Linked DNA regions of Drosophila melanogaster. The protein of the gene in region 1 interacts with the protein of each later gene in a pairwise test. Each region holds a gene or a part of one and is shown in the gene's direction. Other genes may lie near its edges. The genes, in order: ATbp, amos, B-H2 and sofe.

Region 1 (4,718 bases):
CTTGATGTTTGATGCCAATTTGATGTCCTCGAGATGTTGGTTATATACATTTATTTATATATTTAAGTATGTCCTGTGTGTTAAAGTTTTCAATAGTTGTAAGTGGATGGCTTGTTGCGGTTCTTGCTTGGCTGTCAGCGAGTTCATTTCCTGGTGTTCTTAATAATGCAGAATTTTGCTCTTTTATTTTTATGAGTTCTTAGGGCCTCAATAATGGCTAGTATGATGTGCCGTTTGATAAGTTAAATTTCGTAGTTAATAGCGAAGCTGGTAATTTTGTTTGTTTGAGATCCATCTGTGTAAATGTAGGTCTAGGAAAGATCGTTAGTTTGCTTATTATTTAATATTTTCCTTATCAATTTTGGGGTCGTGTTGTTTTTGTTGAACTTATTGTGTGTTGTGTCGATTTTAGAAAGATTGGTGTTTCAGGGAGGTGAGGTTTGGGGGCATATATTACCCGTTACTCGCAGAGTAAAAGGGTATACTAGATTCGTTGAGAAGTATGAACCGGCGGAAGGAAGCGTTTTCGACCATATAATATATATATATTCTTGATCAGGATCAATAGCCGAGTCGATCTATCCATGCCAGTCTATCGGTCTGTACGTAGGGAAATGCAAAGACAAAACAAAATGTGAAAATATATCGCACATACCTAAGTATGTAGTTATGTAAATACACATACATATATACATATATTTCACATTTTACATAGCCACATATGAATATACATATGTGTTTTCGGGTAGGGTATCATTTTAAAAGTGTCTGTCTTGCGTTACTTACATTTTTTCAATAACAAGTACTCAATACTTTTGCTTTTGGATTGTATTTTCTCCACTGTACATTTGTATAACAAAATCCATAATATTATCTTTTAAGCTACGCATTAAGGTAATTTCAGAAGGAAATGAACGATTCCTAGTGACTTCAATATTATTGAATAATAATTGATTTTTCCAAAAAAAAGATTGTATTCAAATATATTTCGGTATTGTTATATATTCATACATAAATTCATTTATACACATAACGGAAAATTAAAAAACATCGATTAGTTCGTAATCAAAGCACATTAAATCAATGCTTAACAATAATCAGGACACACTATGTAGTACGTTATTTAAAAAATTATTAACATAATGCTTGTGTTCTAACTAAATAACCGACTGACCCTTTCAGGAGTAAGGGAGAACTCTTCATTCTGATAATGAAAATGCGAGAAAGATGGAGCTATTCAAACAGCAAAACATTGATACGGACAAGTCCAGTTCGACTCTACTAGTTTTCCTGATCAAGAATATATGTATATACATTAAAGGGTCGGTAACGCTTCCTTTTACCTGTTAAATACTTTTCAAGGAATTTAATATACGCCTCCACCATACGAGGGCATGAAAATCATTTTTGGTACTTCACAACATTTTTAAAATTGTAAAAGGCTTAAAGATTCCATACAACAGTTATTTAATATCGATAGAAAATTCGCGATTCTGGACTTTTATTTAGAAGTTTTTACCTTATCGATATATCGATAGAAGATATTTAAAATGCTATAAAAGTATTTTGGTTCTTCCAATGTCTAACGCTTTTTTTGAGTGTCCTGTTGAGGAAACCAATGTTTTTTAAGATTTTTTCCCAAAGCTTCACATGCGTTTTATCGTTTGTAAATATAATTCCTAATTAAAGTTTTTTTTATGGACCACTGATATGTAGTTCTTTACCATCAATGCGATAGCTGCGTTCAAGTTCGACACTAAATAAGGCCGATGATTAATCGATACTATCGACAGTGCCCATTCGGCCGATAGCTAAACAAAAACAAAAAAAAAATAAACATAAACAAACAACAGCACAAGGACCGGACCTAGTCAAACAAAACAACGCCATGGGTTTTCCGCGCATCCTCAGCAAGAACAACAAGATCTACACCAAGCTGGGCGAGTTCTGTTTGTCGGGGGATAGCTTCTGGATTGTTTGTCACACGTGCCAAGAGGAGTTGCAGACACAGGATCAGTTCTGGAAGCACATACAGGATGAGCATAATTTCATGCACGGGGTGGCAAAGGTATGCTTTATGTGGTTTTTTTTTGGCGGAGGGTTTATAACCCTTGGTCTCTTTACACAGGAACACAGTCGTACATCCAGCTACTGCCTAACGGATGTGGAGGCTGCGGCGGCAGCAGCAACGCCAGGAAGCAGCTCCCAGCAAGGCGCCACAGCGATCAGTGTGCCTCTGGCACTTTACACCTGCTCAACCAAGTATTCTGAGGAGGAGCAGCGGGAGGTGGAAATGCACGAACAGCAGGTGCAACACCAAGTGCAACAGCAGCAAGCGCAGCAGCAGCAAGCGCAGCAGCAACAACACCAACAGTCTCAGCAGCAAGGGCACCAGCAACACCAGGTTCAACAACAGCAGACCCACCAGCAGCTCCAACAGCAGCGGGATGTTGCCAAGGAGCTGGCTGAACTCCATGCCAATGCGGTAGCTGCCGCTGCAGCCTCCGCAGCTGTGGTATCCACAGGCGAAGGAACTACCCAAAGTAACAGCGCCATCGACATTAAAATAGAGCCCAGCAGTCTGACACTTACACCCGAAATGCAGGCTGCTGCAGCAGCTGGGGGGACCATTTACCATCTGCCACAGCTAGTTCCACCACCTGTACCGCCTCCACCGCCAGGGTCCGGATTTGTAAGCGTCAGCGCCAGTACCAGCACCTCCAATACGGTCAGCACCACGCCACCCAATGTTCTACAGCAGCAACAGCAACTAAACATGTCTGTCGTTCCTTCGACGGCTATGGCCGCCGCTATGCTAGCCGCCAGTCAGGAACAGCTGCCCAAGGACTCTAACAGCACGACGGCCAGCGCCGGGAGTGCTGTCTCTTCAGATGACGGAGAACGCTGGTACGTCTGCGATTACGAGACTTGTGGTTTGAAGTTTAAGTATAAGTCGAGAATGGAGCTACATCGGGTAGTTCACAGCAAGGAGCGGCGGTTCAATTGCGAACTGTGCAGTGCCTCCTTCAAGCAGTCGTGCAACCTATCAACACACCGGAAGAAAAAGCACGCACTGAGAGGCATCAAAAGCGAGATATTGCCGCAGCGCTTTTAGGCTATACATTAAACAGAGACAGCTCAAAGATTCCCCAATTAACCACATTGCATCTCGAAAAACCCTGTTTGAAAATGTTGACTTAAGTTCAAGGAAATCGCTTGTTTGCCACAAAAAATGTTCATTGTGCTAGGAGCCACAGAAATCTGTTGAATTAGCAAGGTGTGTACAAAAGAGTTCTACATTTTGTCTCTTCCATGATTTCTCTGCCTTTTCTAAGACTCAATAAAGTTATAGACTTTATATTTATATTTATAAATTAAATAATTCTGGATAATTCCGACTGTAAATTAAAATTTAGCACTGCGTCAACATTGTGGCAGGCAAGTGACATATATATGTATATCACATATGTGTATATATATATGCTCTACAAATGAATATATATTGTATATAAATAAATATATAATATAAATATATATAACATGTATGCATATTTAGTATATAAAAATATACAAATATAAACTAATATCTAATGTAGGCTTAGGTTGTCATGTAAATGTAATGTAAATGTTTAGGCAGAGGTATGAAAACCCCCGTTATCTTTTACGCTCTAAGTGTACATGCAATGATGTGTGTAAAGGAGACCAAAATTTAGAAGACGGAATTAAGCCCAACCAAAAAATATGTTGGTGTCTAGACCGTTGTGAGTTTTGTTTTAGAGTAAATTGGTTCACAATGTGTTAAAACCGATTAGTCTCCTTTGAGTAAGTCTTTTACTTTAAGTTGAAATGGATTCTGAGGACAGCGAGATTTCTGGGACATATCTAGTGGTTGCTGAAATAGTGTCAGTTACAGTTTACAAGGTTAGAACAGTTATTTACCTAGATACACAATATTTATGTATATATGGCCATATATACAGCTGCGAAAAATTTAATATTACCACTTGCCCAATCAAGGTTTGAATAAGTCCCAATTTTAGGATTTAAAAAGAGCAAAAATACCTTTTTAGAAAAGTTAAATCATGCACTTATTAGAAAATAAAAAATAATTACATTGTTCTATGAGTTCTTAACTTAATTAGCCACGTCATGAAAAATGCTTAAATATTCAATTTTAAACAGCTGTTCAACGTGTTGGCATGGATTGATTCAGGTCCTGGCACTGTTTAAGGGATATTTAGGTCCAGGACTTCTTAATTACAGCCCAAAGTTTTCCATTGTTAGTTGCTCGAGAAGCTACAACTGCCTTTTTATTATCGTTGAAAGTATGTAACAGGCAGAAAGGAATCCGACCATATAAAGTATATAACTGCTACGCCCACATTTTTGAAAAATTGTTTGATATTTTTTCATAATTTTATTAGTTGTGTAAATTTCTATCGATTTGCCAAAAAACAGTTTTGAACAATTCTTAAATTTTTTCTCATTTTATTCCCCAATATCTATCGATATCATAATAAAATGATAAAATTTCGTGTTCGCATTCACACTAGCTGAGCAACGGGTATCTCTCTTGTTTTTCTTGTATTTTATCCATTGCCCACAAAGTTAACAACCTTGCTCACATCTGACCATAAAATGTTAATGCGCTTGGCTATGTGTCTCCCATTAAAAGGAGGGACTTTCCTTGGACTTCAGTATTTTAAACCATGTTCCCT
Region 2 (3,262 bases), on another chromosome or scaffold:
ACATCCATTTCAAGTTCTTGCTAGACATACTGTCTGGATATTTTTGCACATCTGTGACCACAACGAATTTACTTGGAAACAAACAAATCTTTGTATATAATAATTCATAATTCCAGATTATTACATGGTAATTATGCTCAGGACAATGAAGTTAGGTCTGATCCATTTCAGACCAACAATGGGACCAAAAAACAAAGATCCATTGTCAGGCATTGCAATACAAAGAGTGGAATCAACAAGTGTCGGGCGAGAAGAGATTCCCATGGAATTCCTGGTGACTCCGGGACTCTGACTTCTAATCTCATTTTCGCAATTTAGCGCCAACAACTAATCCGCAAAGCGAAAACGATTAATCTGGCAGGGAAAACCCAAAAACACGCAACTGCCAGACGTATCCGAGATTATCATCAGGTGACCTATTGTTGGTCAGAAGAAAAGAAACAAACGGGCATGGATATGGATGGAGTGCGGAGAGAGGTTCCCACTTTCAACCAGAACCGCCCACCAACCGACTACCTATTGTTGCTATTTTGACAGGATCGAGGTCCCAGGTAGCGCAGAAAAATGCTAATTGGAAATTCCAGAACCTCTTTTCGAAGGCGTTGCAGATCTTTAGGTTATCCGCGAACCTTTCTCCCGAAAATATTGCAGCATAATGCCTAATCTGGGCCAGGATTTCGACTAAGCTGCGGTCGCGTGGCACTCTTAACAAAGTGAACCGATCGAGCGATCGATCGATCCATCAGCTATCATCATCATCGTCAAGATCAAACGTCAGGATCCTTTGTCGGCTCGGGACTTTGTTCCTTGACAATTTGGGCGAAGTAACTGGGCCATCTTGCAGTGGCATCATTTGTACTCTTTAGCCATGCTCGGCGCTTCTCGGCCAGTGTTTTCCAATTGTTTTGCCCAGTTTCCTTAGAAATTCAGCGAACTCCTCGAATTGATTTTCCCTCTAATGCTGCGAGTCTGTGGAGTTAATTAGCCTTTCGATGCGGTCACTTGAAAGTGGGCTTGATCCCAAGATGACTGTGGAAACCAGAGCATACGAATGAAAGTATATAATGTGAGGGTGCAACATATTGCACCAGAGTTTCGAAGGACCCATCGAATGGTTTCAGCATGTTAAAGTAGTGTAGTTTTATTATCGGAAAAGTAACTCTTCAGTAAAGGCGTTAATATAGCACATTTCAAATCCCTTAATATGAAAATAATAATAAATAATAATAATGTGATACTTGCTTTGATTTCTTCATGCTTTTTTGAATTTCGAACTTCTCGACGTCCTGTAATTTGGCCATTGAAAGCAGGAGAAAGCCACTATTAATACACCCACTTAAATTTGACCCAATAAAGTAAGTACAACCGCCTAAAATCGAAAGTCACAAACCGCACAAGCACAATTGTTGCTCTTTGTTCTGTCCGAAAAATGGGGTTTGCATCCAACCAGTCGAGCACTCCACTCACTAGACCACAGACATGCAACCAAGATGATCCATGGCGATCTTCGATGGAGGCACACATTGTGGAAAATATTCCCATATGACAAGAGTCTTTTGTGCGTTCGCATTTTGACCTTGGCTAAATTTTGTTTGAATATAAAAAGTCAATTCCAGGGCAAGTAACAAAAGAGGTATGATTACAGACGGTAGCCAAATGACAGGTCAAACAAAAGGAGTCGACCTGTAGCTGATACAGTAAATACCTGGGAGAAAGAGGGAGAGAGTTGCAGCCAGAGACAATTAAACGTCTTGACCGCAAGCCAATTTAGGGCACGGGCTGTGCTGCTGATCCTCAAGAGGTTGGCAATCGGGTACCTGAGCGGATCGGATCAGCTTGAGGCAGCGAATCAGGTAACAGGACATATGTAGTGAACCAATCACGTGAGAGCTGAATCCTCGGCAGGCAGCTATATAAAGACCCATCCTCAAGCAGCCACTTCAGTTGTCCCTTGAGCCTGCAAACGTAAACATGTTGACCAACAACGAGCTAATGGAGCAGTTCTACTTCCCCGACGAAGCCCCAGCGATTCCCGAGTTCCTGAGCAACGACACCTTCCAGCAGTTGGAGCAGCTCATGTACCAGCAGGAGTTCAGCACCAGCGACAGCCAGTCGGATGGCGCCAACAGTTGCTCCTTGGAGATGTATTACGATACGCCGTCTGTCCTGGAATTGGAGCACATGCTGAATGCCCAGGAGCAGCAGCAGCACCACCTTCAAGCGAATCCCTTGGGCAAGAATCAGGGCAGAAGTCCAAGGTACTGGAACAAGCAGCAGAGGAGCAAGCCATACGACAAGCTGTCCACTTCCATGTCATCATCTACATCCTCCGCCTCTTCGAGCAGTTCATCGTCCGCGGGATTCGGTGGCGAAGTCCTCAAAAAACGGCGACTGGCCGCCAATGCTCGGGAACGGAGGCGGATGAACAGCCTGAACGATGCCTTCGACAAGTTGAGAGATGTGGTTCCATCACTCGGCCACGATCGGCGACTCTCCAAATACGAAACTCTGCAAATGGCGCAAGCATACATCGGGGATCTGGTCACGTTGCTGTCCAGAGACTACTAGCCAGTGTGGGCGATCCTTTATCCTTTCTTCCTCAAATGGAAGTTCCTTTTGCGGGCTGTGTTGCAGCAACACCTTCATATCCTAGTGGAAATCTTATAAAGGCTGTTAGTTTTACGTTTATTATCATAGTTGTACACAATTCAAGCAATAGTTTTATAATAAAAATGAAAATACAAATCAATTATATTGTTTTAAATTCATATCGTATGAAATGGTGGAGTTGGAATGAAAATAATGTTGTGCGAACTTGGAAATTTATATTTTGTTTGAATTGTATCTTTGCATTTTTTGCTGGTACATATACAGAATTTAGAGCAGATATTTTTAGAGAGAAAAAGGGAAAAATCCAATAAATATTTAAAAAAAAGATAGGAAGTTTATAGGTACTGAAATGTAAATAACTTATCAGACTTATTAATTTACATAAATATATGTAAAAACTCCATTTATCAATCCAACTGATGCCTCCACATTTGTTTTTATTCGCCACGCTTTCATCTCAGCCCGAAAAAGGGTATCCTTGTTATCCTTGAAAGATGAGAGCGGCATGGCAAGCTAGGCAGTGCGCCACGCCCACGAACCAAAACGAAAGGTCATAACATCAGTAACAAACCGAGAATTAATGAGTTCCGCTTCCGACTCAAAGTGATGGAACTCCAAAACAGAAGTGATTAAATGCCGCAAACGTCAACAG
Region 3 (4,929 bases), 5.8 Mb from region 1:
TTCAGTACCACTTACGTTATAAATATATATTTTTTTGAATAAATGTAAACATTGTATTAAATTGGTCTGACCTTAGTTTTATTTATTGATAATTAAGAAAACAATTATCAATAAGTAAATTACATAAAAAAAATGATAAGTTTATGTTCATATCTATTAATGCTATAATTTATATTACAGGAAAATCAATCTCATGGTTTATTCAGAGGCAATACAAACTGTACCCAATGATCCCGGTCACGTCTTCGTTTTCCTGCTCCAGCCCGATCGTTTGTCAGGTCGTAAATGCTTGGGATATATCTATGATTACGATACTCTATTCCTGGAAACGTTTGGCGACAGGAACTCGGATACATACCAATGGCCAGTAATACCCGACAATTGCTGCCGTGAGGCCATTTTGAAAAGCTAACTATACAATAAACATGTGGCAGCGGGAGCATCCGCCTCCAGGCGCCAAAGACTGCCTCCTCGAGTAGCTCCTGCCCACCGGAGCACGCTTGTTAGTCCACAGGAATGAGGTGGTAGGAACCCCCAGTGGTATACAGCCCCCTCTTGGATAGCCACCCCCCCCCTGAGACCCATTCACTTGCACATTAGGCAGCAAATTGACATCGATACAAGAAGTAAACCAGAAGTGAGTGGAAAGAGAGGGCACTATCGCGTGCGACAGAGAGGAAAGCGTGCAGCATTTAACTGCTGCCAATTTACTGTTTAAATGCCAAACAAAAAGTGTTAACAAGCGCAAAAATAACAAAAGACACCAACAACAAAGTACGCAGAGCGAGAGGGCCCGAGGCGAGCCACAGGCGGCCAGCCCTTGGGCCAAAGCGAGACAGACAGATGTCGTGCCGGCTGCCTCTCGCTCGCACAAACCAGTTTAAGGGGGCGTGGCCTGGCCACAAAACAGGGTTGACAGCATCCCATCCATCCATCTTGCCATCCGGATATCTGTCCATCAGATACAACAGCAAAAGCAACATTAGAAGCAAAAGCAAAGGCGGCAGCTGCCCTGCTGCCATAATCGTGTTGAGTTTCAAGCTGCCATAAAAAGTTTATGGGAAGTCGTATTGAACAGGGAAACCTTCTAAAACAGTATGATTTTGCTACTGCTGGAGGCATATTGCATAAATGTTCTGTCATTCCTGTACAAACTATATTTAGTTGGAAAGTTAGATAACAAGTTATTAGTATATTAAAGATGCATGGCTACATATTTTTTAATAATACTCGCTATTATAATAAAAGTTTACCATTAACACTGTTCAAATTTTGTTTGAAAGCAGCTAAAATAATATGAAATAACCAACTGACCCCTAAGACTATATTTAACCCTCAAAGATAACGAACACGTTTTTGTTCAGATTTATAGAAATCAAATAAGTACAAATAACTTTTTATATAAATTGACAAGACTTAATAAACCCTATTTATTTAAGGATATGAAGTTAATTGCAATACTTTTTGTGCGGTTGTAGTTCGAAACAGCCAACTCCACCACGTGCCATAAAAATAACCGTTAGACGTGCGGCCATTGCCGGCGGAAAGTCACCACACCCGCCAACTTGAGTCCCGCTGATTGAAGCCTAATGAATGTCAATTGCTGCCAATTACGACCAATAAGTGCGGGCAATAAATGTGGGCAGCCGTGGGTGCGAGCGAGAGGCAGTCGCGGGGCGACAGAGAGGGAAACTCACCACACCGCCACTTGGCCAGGTCAATGAGCGAAAAAGAGACGACGACAGGTGGCAGCTGATGGGAAGCGGTGGCTCAACTGGTTTTTGCTGCCTTCTTGTTGTTGCTGCTGTTGCCGCTGCTGCTGTTGTTGCTGCTGCTGCTGCCAGTTGCTGTTGCTGGCAGCAAGTTTCAGTTTCGGTCGAAAGCCAAAGGCGAGCGGTTGTTGCTCCGCTATTGAACATCACAAAGTGTGCGCACCTCAGCGACATTTGCGTTAAAAACCCAGTTGGGCCAAGAAAACATTAACCAACGCAAGAGCAATCGAAAGCGGAGTTCAAGAACTTGTCAAGTTTAAGAAATAAGTGCGAGCAGCTACCAACAATTAACTGAAGAAGTGCTAAAAACTCGCGTCACCCATACATACATACATAGCTGTTTGTTTTTTTTCGGTGCAAAGTGCAGGTGCAGCAGCGGAGTCGTCGGCTAACCACACATGACCACAATGCCACCGGAAATGTCCGCAACAACGGCAGCTCCCGTTGGCAGTGCACCGAGTGCCACCGCTCATCATCCCGCTGCCGTCGGCGGCGGTATGCCGCGTCCAGCTTCCCCGGCCGTCGGCAGCAACACGACGACAGCCACGGCCACAACGGCGACGCGATCCCGCTTTATGATCACCGATATTTTGGCAGGAGCCGCGGCCGCATCGGCGGCGGCAGCAGCAGCGGCGGCCGCCTTGGCAGCCGCCTCTTCCGGCGGTGGGCGTGGCAGTCCGACGGACTCGGAGCGGGAGCAATCGCTGGTCGCCCAGCATCACCACCATCACCAGCAGCAGCAACAACACCATCATCACCAGCAGCAGCAGCAGCAGCAGCAACATCAGCAGGCTGCCCTGCAACAGTACATCGTGCAACAGCAGCAGTTGCTGCGCTTTGAACGGGAAAGGGAGAGGGAGCGGGAGCGGGAACACTATAGGGAGAGACATTCGCCGCCTGGCAACAATCCCTATGCCCACCACCCCATGCCGCCCCATCTGCTCGCCCACTTTCCGCCCGCCCACTACGCCGTGCTGCAGCAGCAGCAACAGCAACAGCAGCAACAGCAACATCCCCACCCGCATCATCTGCAGCTTGAGAGGGAACGATTGGAGGCACTGCATCGGCATGGCCACGGGCTGACCGGTGATCCTGCCCAGCACTTGAGCCACTTAAGCCACCTGAGCCACCAGCAGCACCATCCGCATCTGCATCATCCCATGCACGATGAGCGATCCCGGTCACCGCTGATGCTGCAACAATTGGGCGGTAACGGTGGCAATAACAACAACAATAACAACAACAGCAGCAGTGCCAGTAACAACAACAACAACAACAACAACAGTGCTAGTGCCAACAGCAACATCATCAGCGGCAACAGCAGCAGCAGCAACAACAACAATGGCAGTGGCAACGGCAACATGTTGCTCGGAGGACCCGGCAGCAGCATTAGCGGCGATCAAGCCAGCACAATCGACGACAGCGACAGCGATGATTGCGGTAAGTCGCTGATCATATATCATAAACATACAATGAATCTGTATAGCAATATGGTTTAAGCTGTATTTCAAGGATAAGGCTACATCGGGAATATATAAAGTATATATATATATATATAGCAGAAATAATTAAGTTGCTAACTAAAGGAAGAGACTAGTTCATGAGACAGACATACAGATTCAGATGGATCTTGAAGAATAGCACCAAGTGCGGAATATATGTATATGTATATAGACACTTTATTGCAATATCAAGTAATATGAGAAGAGCAAAGCGGGGATACATATAGAGAATATATATATATATATATATAGCAATATGATATTTGTGATATTTCAGGGACTGGACTGGATGGGAAAGTGAAATCTAATGAACAACTGATATTCAAAATAGCAAGAAAAAAGAAAGACAAGATATAATGCGAGATATAAATGTTTCAAAATACCAATCAAGGCTTTTTTATACGTGTTCCTGACGTACAAATTAAAAGCAATCAAAATCTAGCTAATATATATGTATTTAAGCTCTAGTAAATTTGCATAGAATATTAAAGGAAATAAAGGAAGCTAGTAATTATAGTATACAAATTGCCATTAAAACCAGTTCTATTTATAAACTTTACCAAAGTTCAGCTGTATTAGCTATTTTATTAAACGAAAAGGGCTTTTATGGCTATAGAGAATAGAAATTATTTCATAGTATGCACACCAATAAATGTTAGCTGATAAATTTGATTCGGTTGGTATTAATTTGAAACCCAAACGGTGGACTTTTGTTTATACACTGAAGGGGATCTCGAAACCAATTTACACCTATCCATCTGACCCCTGAGTTCGCACCACTTTAAATTTACGATTTTCCCCGCGACCGGGATATATCATATATTGAGTGCTAAGCGTGGTTGTTTTTCCTGTTGTCTTTGTCGTTTTTGTTGTGGCTGTTGGCTAATAGATAACGGCCAACAACAACCGCACCAACAACCACCGTAAATTGTGCGGCTCGAACGGGGAAAATGCTGGCTTGATAGGCGAAGACTCGAAAAATACAGGTGAGTTCGAGTCTGAGGCAGGTGTCTTAGGTTTTGTCTCTCACTCTCTCTTTCTTCCTCTACCTGTATATGTCTCTCTTTCTGTTTTTTCCTTTTCAATCCCCCCCCCCCCCCCTCAACTTATTGGCCAGATTAGCCAAGTGTTCGCTTATTTTCAACATATTTCCCAGTCAAAACTGTCAACAGAATACCCTTGACTGCCACGCCCCCCGCGTGCCGTCAACCTTGTTTTGCATGCAACAATCTAATTGATTTTGTTGCCTAGCTTTAGTTTTGCTTTTTTCCTCTCGTTAAGTGCTTTTAAACGATATGCAAATTATAACAAATTACTATTAAATAGCCGTAATCGTGCGTTTGCAATTGATTTGCAGTAATATAATTTAGAAAGGCCGAGAACGTGCACAAATATATATGTATGTATTTGAAAGAGCATGGAAATCAGAACAAAAGGTCAGAATGTTGAGTTTGCTACAAAAGATGTGTGTGTGTTTTTATTATAGATTTTTTACGAAATCCCAAAGGATGATAAAAATGAGTTTCCACTATTTTTGGATAACTAAAATGCCGAGTAATTTTAGTTATTTTAATAATTGCCCGGTCTCAATTCAGTTTTTTTTTTGTTAACGAGAAATTATAAGCCCCTAAGCAATTTTGTTTCAATCAAAGCTT
Region 4 (4,858 bases), about 12 Mb from region 1:
GGGGTTTATCTGCAATTAACAATTAATACACTCATTAGGTAAGGATTTGACAAGGAAGACTACCCCTCCCGTTGCACCCACCTCCATGGCCGTGGAGTCGCCGCTGCTGGTGCTGGTAGGGCGACATGTGTGCGTGCTCTTGCTGCTGCCTCAGATTGTTGTCAGATCGCTCGCTGGCCGTCTTGTAGTTGGTGCGCTCCTCGCGCTCTTCGTCGTCCTCTCGCGGATCTGAAATCACAGAGGCTGAGCTGGCGCTGGGCAGGCTCTCTTGGGATGAGGCCAGTAGCGAGCACAAGCCCAGTCCTCGTTCAGCCTCACTCTGACTGCCAGCGTTCTCAGCTTGTTCCTCGCTGTTGCCATTATTCTGAGTCGCCTCCTTTTCGGCGCAATCAGCTGGAGGCGCCTCCTCCTTAGCTTGCTGTTGTGGGGATTCCGAGCGACTGGCTGACACCAGTTCCTTCGCTGGCTCAGCTGCCACAGCCGCGTGGGCTGTGTCAACATGTTTCTCCACCTGAGCGACTAGAGGTTTCGCAGGAACAGGATCCGGAGCAGGAGATGAAGCTAGCTCTGGTTGCGCCCTTAAAGTTGGTGCTACCTCTGCGGTGGCCGTGGCTGCAACAGTGACTTCAGTCGCTGCAGTCGCATCTGCCTGCAATTGCTCCTTGTGCTTGCGCTCGTGCTGTCTAATCTGCTCCTGGGCCCACTCCTCGGCCTCGGCGCGCATCTGCTGCTTCACCTCGCTGGTGACATCCTTTTCGAGCTCTGTGCATGGAAGAAGGATATCCATCAGAAAACGATTCAACTATTGCAGTGCATATAGAACTCACCTTCGTCCGAGAGTAGCAACTCATCCTCATCGGCGCCGAGCAGAGCTTGGTCATCGATGTCATCGCCCAGCTCGTAGTTGAGCAGGTCATCGCTGCGGATGAGATGCAGTTAAGAAATCATTAATGGGTTAAGGAGAAAACCAAGGTGAGACTTTTCTATCCTTCGAGGTTCCATTGAAAAAAAAAAATATAATAACCACACGCACTCAAACACATACACAAGCACAGCCGGGGGGGCATTCACACACATTCGCACACATACGTACACACCTACGCAGCTTGAAAATGTTATACACATGCATCGCCAACCCCCCCGCCCCGACAATGCTTTTTGCATGCGATTTTCTCAGTGCCACCAATCGAACGCTGGCCAGGATTGTTGCCCAATCTTAGGTGGCCACCATTCATCACAGGGTCACCCACTTTTTCGCACCCACCACTTACTTAATGTCCGACATTTTTTCGCCAGGGCAGCTGTTGACACTCGGCGGCGCGCGTGTGTGGGTGTGTGTTTTAAAGTAGAACAGGGACTGTCTACGGACGCGGCGCGGTGTTTTATAACATTTTGAACAGCCGTTTTGCGATCGAATCGATCTGAGCAGTAACGCGCGCTTTTCCACTGAATAAGTAGGCACCCGAAAGGTATGCGAAAAGTTCGGGTCTTTTTCACACGCAGTATTTTTTTTGAGGGATGCAATTGGTATTAGTGGTGGCAAGTACAGCGATAGGTATGCGTTGCTATCGGTATATATCGATATCAATTTATACTACTTACCATACCATTGGTACTAACATTTACCATATTAGACACGGTAAAACAATTATTTTCTTATAACGCATTATACGCAATAGAAAGTGAGTAGCAGAAATATACTCACTCACTATATATATATTTGATCTCCAATGCTTACCGATGTGGCAATGCTGTCGCCTAACAGCACCAATTGGCCAGTGTTGCAGAGCGCACGAGTTTGATGTACAGTTTGAAATTTACCGATTTAAACATAGCAACATTGCGTCCATACGTTCTGATTCGAATTGAATTTCATGTTTACTTACATCCAACCACACACGAGAACACGACACAGAAACAAACAAAATAAACACAATGCTATCTAGCGAACACAAAGCAAGGATACTAGCGCTGACGGCCGAGCACTTCGACGAGCTGCACGCAATGTGGTCGCGAATGTTTGAGCCGCAAGCCTGCGAGGATTGTCTCGCCCGTCTTAAGGATCACGTACACACATTCTACACGGATCTCCGCAAGGAGACGAGCGACAAGGAGCAGGGTATACTCAACGACATAGCCGTTTTGCGCAACGAGGCCAGCGGGCTAAGGCGGCTGCTTCACAAAGCGGTGGACATTGGCGAGCGGCCGGACGATGTGCCGATGGAGATCTGGTACATTAAGCTGGAGAAATACATCGAACAACTGCGCAAAGAGCTGGTCAGCCGACGGGCAGAGATCAGGGAGCTACTCCATCAACAGCAGCAGCTCTGCGATGAGCTGGGCGAACAGCCGCTTTCACTTCTAGCTGATCCCCTGCCGCTGCCCGAGGAGATGGACCCCTTTCGGGAGCACCTAGCCCAGCTGCGCGATCAGCGAGTGCAGCGCCTCAGGGATATGGACGAGCTGCGCCAGAACATCAAACGAAACATAAAACTACTCGAACTTCAATTGCGAACGGACTCGGAAAAGCGGTTACTCAATGCGGATAACCATAAGCTTACTCCCTACGCCTACGTGCGCCTGCAAGAAATGGACAAAGAGTTCGCCGACCAGGTGCAGGATCTAATCGACCGCATCGACGAGATGCGCGGCAAGATTGAATGCCTCTGGCAGCGGCTCAGGATGACCGACGAATACGCCATGCGTCGTGTGCGCGAAGCCACGTCCTATAACCAGTGCACCTACGACATATTGCGCGAGGAGCTGGAGCGCTGCCAGGCGATGCGGCAGCAGAATCTGATTGCCTTCATCGAGCAGCTGCGCATTGAGATCAACGAGTGGTGGGATCTTTCACTGAAAAGCACCGAGGAGCGCAGGCGCTTCACCACCTACTACTGTGATACGCAGACCGAAGATGTTCTCGAGCAGTTCGAGAAGGAGCTGGACAACCTTAAGGAGTTCTACAACAGCAACAGGAAGATATTTGAGCTATACGCGAATCGAGGCGAGCTATGGACGCGCATGGAGGCCCTGGAGGCCAAGGCCAACGATCCAAATCGGTTCAACAATCGCGGTGGACAGCTGCTCAAGGAGGAGAAGGAGCGCAAGACTATCATGTCCCGTCTGCCCAAGATCGATCAACAAATCACCGAACTGGTGCAGGTCTACATGAGTGAAACGCACACGCCGTTCCTGGTGCACGGCGTGGATATACTGGAGCGCATGTCGGCGGACTGGGAGCGGCATCGACAGTCCAAAAAGCAGCCCTCCGCCCAGAAGAAGGATGGCAGCAATACGAGCGGCCAAATGAAGCCGCCAATGGTGCCTCTTACGCCCAATACGCAGAAGAGCAACCGGGGCATCCATGGATCCACATCCTCGTTGAAGAAGACGCCGACCAAGGCAAATGCCAGCACCACGGCAATGAGCACAGGGAATCTGCACAAGAGACGGCATCCACAGCATCACAACACCAATAGTCCACAGCCGGCAGCAGCGGCCAAGCGAAATCTAATCGCATCGCTGGAGTGCAACAATGCAAGTCGCAAGGTCTGTGTGAATGGGCAGAAGCTGCTCAAGTCGCCGCAGAGGAAGGTGCGCGTGCTGGAATACTCGGTGCGTCGGGGCAAGGGATCCGGCAGGCCGAGCACAGGGAGCAGGAATCCCCAGAAAATTCGTCCCATACCAAAAATCCATGTGCGTCCGCCGTCCGGCGAGGAGAACGAGAGTCCCGACGAGGAGGCGGTCGTGGCCATATAATGGAGCTAGACTCTAATCACATCCAATGGCAATCATTTCGGCAACTGATCTGTGTTCTATATCTATTACCTGTACTGAAGTATTTGGCTCGCAATTGCAGACTCATCGTATTTATATGTATACACATATGTATAGTGTTAGGGCTTTTCCTAGCGCAAAGACTATCTAAATTTACAACTTTAAAATTCTTTTAACTATTTTGCACTACCTGTGACGGCAAGAAGTAAATGAACAATTGTCCACATTTTAAATTTTTAGTCAGATAAAAACGCTTGTTTACATTATAAATTACTTGATTTCAATTTTACCAAAATATACATGTGTGGGAAGGGTTTTCTAAAGTCTGTGGGATGTTTACTAAGCGCATATAAGAGAATATAATACGTTTTTAAGGAGCAAAATAATTAAAATAGATATTTTAATTTGCTAATAAACCAAATAACGAATTTTAAATATTCAAAAAAGTGGCGTATGCTCCAGCCCTGGTTTTACCAGAAGTTACCGCCGCGTGGCAATGCTGTCCCACAACGCGGTGGCAACACTCTTGGCCGCCATTTCAATTTGAATTTACCGAAATTTCTGTCTAGCGTCATCGATTCATTCAGTTCGAAATTTCGTGCAGTGATGCACTCTAAATAAACCACTAAATAAATCCGCACATTCCCGAGCAATCCTGCCCAGCGTTGTGGGTCTGCGACACAACTGTCAAGTTAACTCAGATATGCTGGTTAAATAGTCCCCAAGTGAACACAACGAAAAAACAAAGCCAGTGAGCATTTACGCAAGAAAAGAAATTTTGAACAAAAAAAAAAAAACACAAATTTCACAACGAAAACGGAGAAAATGAACTCGCCGAGCGCCATTGCGGTGAAGGCCCAGATCCTGGAGATGACGGGCGAGCACGTGGATCAGTTGCACGCGATGTGGTCGCAGTTGTTCGAGGTCAAGACCTGCGGTGAGTTCCTCCTCCGGTTGAAGGACCATGCGAACAGCTTCTTCACGGATTTGCTCAATGAGTCGCGCGAAAAGCAGCAGGCGATCCTCAACGATATAGCCGCCTTGCGGGCAGAGGCCACCGACTTGACGCGCCTACTCCACG

The links.
Region 2: the proteins of ATbp (region 1) and amos interact in a two-hybrid assay, tested with the Drosophila melanogaster proteins (one large-scale study listed by BioGRID).
Region 3: the proteins of ATbp (region 1) and B-H2 interact in a two-hybrid assay, tested with the Drosophila melanogaster proteins (one large-scale study listed by BioGRID).
Region 4: the proteins of ATbp (region 1) and sofe interact in a two-hybrid assay, tested with the Drosophila melanogaster proteins (one large-scale study listed by BioGRID).

Annotation. Positions count from the first base shown.
Region 1 is NC_004354.4:23,104,216-23,108,933, forward strand, and holds ATbp ((A+T)-stretch binding protein), read left to right. Parts: upstream 1-1,787; 5' UTR 1,788-1,888; coding exon 1,889-2,068; intron 2,069-2,128; coding exon 2,129-3,115; 3' UTR 3,116-4,116; downstream 4,117-4,718. UniProt on the Drosophila melanogaster protein: May be a transcription factor for genes having (A+T) stretches in their promoter and/or enhancer regions. Binds to AT rich DNA.
Region 2 is NT_033779.5:18,595,616-18,598,877, reverse strand, and holds amos (absent MD neurons and olfactory sensilla), read left to right. Parts: upstream 1-1,956; 5' UTR 1,957-1,971; coding exon 1,972-2,568; 3' UTR 2,569-2,742; downstream 2,743-3,262. UniProt on the Drosophila melanogaster protein: Transcription factor involved in early neurogenesis; sensillum basiconica formation and maybe sensillum trichodea development. Promotes multiple dendritic (MD) neuron formation. Required for olfactory sensilla; regulated by lozenge (lz).
Region 3 is NC_004354.4:17,312,700-17,317,628, forward strand, and holds the start of B-H2 (BarH2), read left to right. Parts: upstream 1-1,881; 5' UTR 1,882-2,170; coding exon 2,171-3,212; intron 3,213-4,929. UniProt on the Drosophila melanogaster protein: B-H1 and B-H2 are regulated by members of the wg signaling pathway; wg and dpp. B-H1 and B-H2 are coexpressed and functionally required in R1 and R6 receptor cells and primary pigment cells for normal eye development.
Region 4 is NC_004354.4:10,854,349-10,859,206, reverse strand, and holds sofe (sister of feo), read left to right. Parts: upstream 1-1,793; 5' UTR 1,794-1,935; coding exon 1,936-3,759; 3' UTR 3,760-4,207; downstream 4,208-4,858. Other genes in the region: CG2186 (uncharacterized protein), read right to left, coding at 1-9, 82-762, 828-919, 1,272-1,285; feo (fascetto), read left to right, coding at 4,603-4,858.